Xenopus tropicalis: one gene and its partner. The protein of the gene in region 1 interacts with the protein of each later gene in a biochemical or structural test. Links are inferred from orthologs where the notes say so. Each region holds a gene or a part of one and is shown in the gene's direction. Other genes may lie near its edges.

Region 1 (4,322 bases):
AAGGATACATTTTCTTTTGCCCTGAAAACATGCAAAAGGTCAAAGGGGTGCAAATATGTGTTCATGCTTGAGCAAGTTGCAGTCCCAAGGTAAATTCTGCTCTCTGTACTTTCCTTCAATAAACATCTGATGGAAGGTGCAGTGCTGCTGGGTGGAAGATGGCAGTCCTGTAAATAATGTGCAAGCTAGTGGACATGACACGAACAGCTATTAATCTTACTATCTATATACTCCACATATGTAAGTACCAAAAGCTTTAGGCAAATTTGGAGTAATTGTAAAAGGTAGAAGATGCTCAAGTGCACAGTGAATAAGCTGGTGTAGGGACCCATAGGGTTAATCTGGCTTTAGAGCTTACCACTTCCTTATTTCTGCTGTTACTGGGCCATTTACTGTATTTAGTTTACCATTTACATATTGTGCCTATTGGTTTATTTGGTTGATCACACCCCTTGCACTCCAATATAGTGTTTAGCAAGGCAGTGTCTATAGTTCAACCTGACCTGTCTATAGTTCAACTGCAAGAACCTTCTGGCGTCCATCTTTGCTAGACTGCACTGCACACAGCTACAGTGAGTTGTAGTCCACTACACCCTTGCTCCGCATGGTCTCTTTTATATAGCGAAGGCCCATCCCGTGTGAGAGTTTCATGGTCCCCGTGCTCTAAAACCATACTAGCCTGGGTTTTGCCTATTTTATAGCCAAATAATGGTTACACTGGCTTAAATGTGCATTTTATTTATCTAGCAACTTTTATTAATATGGATGATATTAATCATCCTTAATTTCTGTCAGTGTAAATGCACAAAAAAAACAACATAAAAATTTTTTGATCATGGTCCTTTCAGAAGAAACCTGCTCCATAGAACTAAATTGGTGAGGATACCACGTCCATCCCAGCACAGTGAGTCTTTTGTAAGCATCACCAGAACCAGCTATGACCTTGCCTGTCTGAGAGGGCCCCGGATGCTGCTGTAATAATGCACAGTTGGTCATTTAAACAACCCCACCCCCCTCATTAAATACCTTATACATATCATAGTGTGTAATCTTTAGCTACATATATCTGTAACACACATTTTGTCTGTGACAAAATATTTAATATTTCGCTGCAAAGAGGAGCGTCACGTTTCTTTCAGGTGGTAGAGTCCAGTTCTCTACAAAGGGTAGTCTCTGTGATGTTTGAAGAGACTGCTTTCCGTGGTTCTTCCTTGTTTGCCTGTCATTTCCTCCCAGCAGCCTCTGATTCACAGAAAAGATAGCCGTGACTGCAGATTAAATCCGTTCTTCCCTCCTCCTATGTGTTTTTTTTCTTCTCCCCCACCCATCTCACCCCCTGAGACCTCTCTGTACTTTGACGTCATGCATGCTCCTTTTAGTTGCCATAGCGACTCCATTCCCTAAACCCCTCTTGCCTATCTCCTGTCGTAGCTTTCACAATGGTACAGGCAGCATCACTGTGCACAATGCTTTCCAGGCAGTGAAAGAAGGTGATTCAGCAAGCCCGTCTGTTCTTTTCCATCACTCCCTTTTTCACTTTCTATTTCTTTTTTTGTTTATTTTTATTATTAAAACATTATACAAAGAATTAAGTTAATTTCCTCCTATATTTATAAGAAATTTGTTTTTTATTCTTATTTCCTATACTACCCCATTCATGGGCATCGTTTAATCTAACCAATACACATGTATTTTGGAACGGGGTCAAAAAAAGCCACATAGAATTGCTATCTTTGGAGGAGCCACTGTGGATGTGAATTGTTGCAGTGCAGGCACGGAATGGTGAGTAGCCCTAGTCTCGGTATGCTGCTGTTATTAATGCAGGTTTATTCCTTTCTAAAAATACAATTACCATTGTTTTCTGTTTAAATTCTGGGAAGAATATTGTGTGTAAATTCTGAATATATTGGGTGCGGTGCTTGTATGGACTACTGCCAAATATATAAATGGTGGGAGGTTATTGCAAAAACCATATTCATGTCATAGGGCAGTGGGATTGACACAATGCCTAACTGGTTATGTTAATTCTCCTCTCAGTTCATGTAGCAGGATGAAGGGCCAGTGTAGAAGCAGTGAGTGCTAAAACAGTAGGTGCCAGGGTGCACTAATGCAGCCCTGTTCTGCTCCTCATATACAGGCTAAGGGGACTATATTTTGATTGCTGTGTCTATATGCCATCCACAACACACATACCTTTGTCTATGCATTGACAACAGGGAATGGAAAAAATGGCCTTACTGGAACATATAATCGAAACCTATTCTTACCATTTATATTTTAATAGATTATGCACAAAAAAGGTGTGATTAGGCTTTAATCATTTTTTTTAGCACTGTGATTCCAACAGAACCAGCTTTCCCTAAGCAGTTTTTAAAAAAAATAAATTAAGCAAGGTTTGTGTTCAAATACACATTTGTGGATACAGGTTTTGTTTAGAGCAAGCTCTAGCTGCTTTACAATTACAATTCCCATTATTCTCAGGTACCCTGTTTATGGAAGTTGCATTTCTAAAGACCATACATTAGAAGCCTAATTAATGACTAAAGTCCTAAAGATCCTAAATATTACCAATTATACTTTCCTATGTGTTTTATTAATGGTTTCGATCATTTGCTAGAAACTATGTATGTAAAAGGTACATTTTTCAGCAGGATAATTATTTATAGCTTAGTCAGCGTTTTGAAATATTTGGGCTTTGGAAAACTCTAAATAAGTTACTAAAATAATTTCTTTTGTAGTTTATAGTATAGCATGTAGACAAAAGATTGCTTGCGCAGAGTTTGCTTTTATATATTCCAGATTTTCTGGAATTGTGTAAGCATGGCTGCTCTGCAGTATCAGTTCTCTGTGGTTTTTCTTTGGTAAACAAGGTTAGAGGCTTAAAACCATTGCTGTATGGGATCTCTATTAAAATGCAAGTAAAAACAGTATTTGATGTTTTATATAGACTTGTGAACTTAGTATGAGTAGGAAAATGTTAATGAATTACATGAGTAAGCTTTACATTTTGCAGGTTTGCACTGGTAATTATTAGACAAAATGCATTGTTGTGCAGGCCTTTCCTGTAGCTGGTTTTGGTACAGAAGACCGTTAGCTGCAGTGATTTGACAGTTCAGCTTTATGTGAAGAGTGCAGCATTAACTATCCACATACTTCATTACTATGGCTTTGTATTCTCTGCAGCACACAGTGAAATGCCAAAAAAGTGCTGACCTCAATAAACCTCTAAGCTGTTCTCATTTATTTTCCCTCAAGTAAACATGCTGCAGCTGCCTATTGCTGCTATTTACAGATTTTTTTCCCTCAAAGACACCAGTAAATCTATGTATTGTGTGTTAATTTCTCTCAAGATAGAACACAGTCTTGTTTTATTTCATGTAGTTCAGGTTTTAGAATAAAATGAAGATAGGAACCTTTTTTTACCCACATGAATATATCCTGGTGTATGCTTGGTGCAGATCTGCACTGTACTGTTGTAGCTGAAACAGCAGCCATTCATTATGATAGTGCTTTCATTTTTTCTAGGCAGCCTAATTTTTCGATAGCCCTTCCTCTGTCTTTTCCTTTCCTCTTATTAAAATGTTAATCTGCAGAGCTCCCAGTGAAAATGACAGCTGCCAAAATGTAATGGCAATGCCATTGTTGTTCCCATTGCTTGCATGAGGATTCTGCTGCAACCTCAGCAGCGTGACAAATGTGTCTGGACTTGGCACTTTCATGGAACGAATCTGCACAGCCATGTACAGTATGGTTATTCATTCCTTAGAAGATTATCCCCCCCCCATTGTTTTGTTTTGACAGCAAAAATGCATCCAGATACAAGTGAAATATTAGTCCATTTAAAATTCAGTGCATTAAAATGTCAGTCTGACTCACATTTTTCCCAGTGGAAATAAGTACTTGAATATAAAAGAACAGAAATGGATTTGATGGGGCCTAAGTGAACTTTGACACCTGAGCCTTATGCAGAAAGCTTACATATTCCATAGACTCAAAAGCTCAGTGTACGACCAATATATACTGAAATCTATTGACAATTTCTTGCTTACAGGATGACTCTGGGTGTGGGCAGTGTCTTTTGTAATGTATTCGTATTGTTGCCAAACTGGCTGGTATGTCATCAAAGGGTTTCCAAAGCACTGAACCAAAGAAATGCTTTTCTTGCTGGCTATGGGCTTCAAAAGGGAAAAACAACACAAAATCTTTATATATATATATATAATATTTGTCCATAAAGATGCCGGCACTCACGTCTACTAGGAAGGTACAGCATCCTGGGTACAGGTCCAAGTAGATTAGAAGATGCAGCAAGAAGAGGATCC
Region 2 (3,826 bases), on another chromosome or scaffold:
TTTAGAGTTTTTGAATTATTTGCCTTCTTCTTTTCACTTTTTCCAATGTTGGAATGACTCAGCAGCTAAAAAACTATTGCTCTGTGAGTCTGCAACTTATTTGTTATTGCTACTTTTTATTACTTGTTTTTCTATTTCTAGTCTCTCAATCAAACCACGCTGAAATTCCAGACTGGAAAGTTATTGAACAAAAAACAAAATAATTACACAACTACATATAATGAAAAATGAGGACCAATTGCAAAGTGTTTCATAATATTACTCTCTAAATCAGGGTTCCCCAACCTTTTTTACCGGTGAACCGCAGTAAAATTATGAGAATCAATCAATCAATCATTGAGAATCATGGTACCATTGTGACTGGATCATACCTTCTTACACCTGTCAGTTTCAGCCAACAGCTAACTGAATAAGTTTAATGGAACCATTAAGATTGGATGCCTGTGACTTTACTACCCTCAAGGGTTTAAATGCACCTGGATGAATAAGAATCTTCATAGACACACAGTCAAAATGTAAAAAAATTTGGAGAGCAACACAAGCATCATAAAAGTTCATGGAGGTGCCAAATACGGGCTAAGATTGGCTATTAGGCAGCCTCTATGCACACTAACAGCTTACAGGGGGCTTTATTTGGTAGTAAATCTTGTTTTTATTCAACCAAAACTTGCCATTAAGCCAGGAATTCAAAAACAACTACCTGGTTTGGAGGAACTGAGAGCAACATCCAAGAGTCCCACCTGCGTTTGGCACTTTCATGGACCAGTGTGAGTACGGGCATATTGAGAAGAATAGGGTGCGTTCCTTCCTGCGCTCCCCTGTGGTAGAATGCAGAGGAATGCACTCCAGGGAAAAGCAGAAAGGGACGCTTGAGGGTACAAGCCTTAACTCAGAGGTGGACTCCCACTAAAAGTGGACAATCACTGGTTCGGTTTTATTTTTGGAAATGATGGGAGATGGACTTCCATGTGAAAGAGTCTGATTTGTGTTGAAAAACATGCATTGTTGCTTTCATTTTGCTGAATAAGATGCAATTGCATCAGGCACTTTGCCCCCTTGTGACTGAAATTACACTGGAATTCTGGGCAAAACCCCTATTTCTGCAGAAAAAACTTGAAGATTGAGCTCGAAATTGCACTTTGGCAGAGTGTAAGATCCCCAGGAAAATCCTCTTCTATGATCCAAAGCCTTCACTAACGTTCCATTGTTTAGCATGATTAGAGCTTTACTAACACAAAAATCCATCTTTTTTCCTTTTGCAGAGCCTCCAGGGAGCACCCTTCAGTCCAGGAGAAGAAGAAGTCAACCATTTGGCAATTGTAGGTTTGCCTGTACTTGTATTTCCATCATACACTTTGACAGATAGATCAGGCAGCCTTTGACTGGGTGCCATTTATAAGTTCCTTACTATCCCTGATATTGTCTTTATCACAATGTATTTGACCCAACAAATTCACTGTATATTAAGTCAAGCTTGGCATGTTGAGTGCACAGATTAACTCTCAGTCATTTTCTATGAATTGAGATATTGGCAATAAGAGGTTTCTGTTATATCATCACATCAGTTGCCCAGGAAGATCTTAACTGTCTATGACCACAAATGAACCACTAATATAGAATGCACAGTGGCTCCTCATAGCTGTGTAATGTTGCCTATTTTCTTTCAGCTTCAGCAGGCTTTTCAGCTCTTCATCCAGCCCACCACCTCCCAAGAGGACTTACCCATCTGTCAATATCCACTACAAGTCTCCCACGCCTGCGGGATTCAGCCAGCGCCGCAGCCACACCATGTGCCAGATCTCCTCTGGGGGGCGCACCATTGAGTTCTTCCCAGATGAGTAAGTCAAGCATTGTGCTTGAAAGAGTGTACAAAGACACAACATAAAACTATAAATAAATTCTGATTATTAAGTATTTTTTAGTTGTGTAGAAAATCCATGGCTTTGGTTGTTCACGACTAGTCAATGATGATAGGTGAATGCATATTAATGTTTTTCCAATGTCTTGATGTTTCCATCTATTGGTAGAGGCAGGTGCAGACTGGGATTCAAAATAGGCCCTGGCATTCCAAGCACTGTTTGGGCCTTCATGTGTTACCAGCCCAATAAATAGTGACTGTCTATGGCTACTTACAGCAGCCCCTTTGGCATTTGCCATAACACACAGATTCCCAGTCCAGGCCTGGGTAGAGGTGCCTGTCTAACACACTAATAACTACGTGTCCCACTGACTAGAATTTTTAGCCACAGGGTTACAAAAAAACTCCCAGGTTCTGGGACACATTGCACATTGTATCACATCCAGTTCGACAAATTGAATGAGATTCACCACTTCCTTGGATAGAATTAAATGTACCCCTGATTATGGTACATACAGCCCCCTCCTATGCTACCTTGCATTTGCCCTCCCCATGCTTGCCTTCTTGCTCACTAGATGCCTTTAACCCTTGCTGCTTTGCTTTCTGCTCTCTCCCCTGACGCTCTGCCGCATCTTTTTCTTTTCCCTTAGATTGAGGAGTAACACTGTAGCTTCTCTCCTCAGCGACTGCACATCTACGGCTCGCCGGGAGCAGAAGCGCGAGCAGTACCGCCAAGTGCGGGAGCATGTGCGCAATGACGATGGGCGCCTCCAAGCCTGTGGGTGGAGCCTACCTGCCAAATATAAGCAGGTTGGTAGCTCAAGGGATCATAGAATCTGTGAACTAGATTAGTGATTTCCCTGATCTATTTTATATATATTAAAACTATAGTTGATCTATAGTTGGGCCTTGTAAGTACAGGTATGGGACCTGTTATCCGAAATGCTTGGGACCTGGGGTTTCCTGGATAAGGGGTCTGTAATTTGGATCACCATACCGTGAATGAACCCCAATAGGATTGTTTTGCCTCCAATAAGTATGAATGAATCTTGGTTGAGATCAGGTACAAGATACTGTTTTATTATTATAGAGAAAAAGGAAATTATTTTGAATTATTTGATTAACATAACCAAATCAAATATGGGGGATGGCCTTCCCCTAATTCGGGTTTCCAGATAACCGATCCCATACCTATACATTATGTCTGTGTATGTACATAACTAGTTGTGTTTTTTACATCAATTTATTATGGTTGTGTCAAACATGGAGATTAATTGCATCGTATCTGCATCGTATTGCATTGTATCTCCCAAGAAAGAGTTCAGTAACAGAATTATATAAATATTAAATATTTTGCTTAGGAGAACCTAAATAAGTAAAAAAAACACACTCAAAAAAAGACCAACTGCAACTAACAGTTTTACATATTGATTTTATTCAAATAAATGTGTTAACTCTGACAGCTTAGTCCAAATGGAGGACAGGAGGATAACCGCATGAAGAATGTGCCAGTCCCAGTTTACTGCAGGCCACTGGTAGAGAAAGATCCCACCATGAAGGTAAGAATCTGCCAGTCCCCCGGGAGTACTTATTTCCTGTAAAGGCAAAGAGACAACACGTATATAATTACACAGCATTTTTAGTTATCTTGCTTTACACTGCAAAAAGCAATAACATATCAATAACAAAAACAAAATAATTGAGTGCTGTTGGCTCTCACACTGTTGTCCTTGAATTCTGTATCCGTGTCCATTGCGTGTTTATTTGGTATTTCTAAAAAATGTTTGCATTAAAGAGTTCCATTAGGGCCCTTTTCACCCAACCACAGCCCCTTGAAATGCAAGGCCACTGCCATTCTGACTACTCGTTAGGGAACGGTGACACAATCGGAGGGCTGTGGGTGGCAGTGTGTATGGCTGCTGATCATGAATAGCTTACTTTGTCAGTTTTTCTGTAGGATTAGCTCCA

The links.
Region 2: the proteins of mapk10 (region 1) and mapk8ip3 form a complex in vitro, tested with the Homo sapiens proteins (3 studies listed by BioGRID, with this or other methods). The link is inferred for Xenopus tropicalis from reciprocal best matches to the Homo sapiens genes MAPK10 and MAPK8IP3.

Annotation. Positions count from the first base shown.
Region 1 is NC_030677.2:87,177,831-87,182,152, reverse strand, and holds the start of mapk10 (mitogen-activated protein kinase 10), read left to right. Parts: upstream 1-1,442; 5' UTR 1,443-1,779; coding exon of another isoform or gene 1,780-1,782; intron 1,783-4,322. UniProt on the Homo sapiens protein: Serine/threonine-protein kinase involved in various processes such as neuronal proliferation, differentiation, migration and programmed cell death.
Region 2 is NC_030685.2:22,605,758-22,609,583, forward strand, and holds part of mapk8ip3 (C-Jun-amino-terminal kinase-interacting protein 3), read left to right. Parts: intron 1-1,262; coding exon 1,263-1,319; intron 1,320-1,667; coding exon 1,668-1,838; intron 1,839-2,508; coding exon 2,509-2,668; intron 2,669-3,321; coding exon 3,322-3,417; intron 3,418-3,826.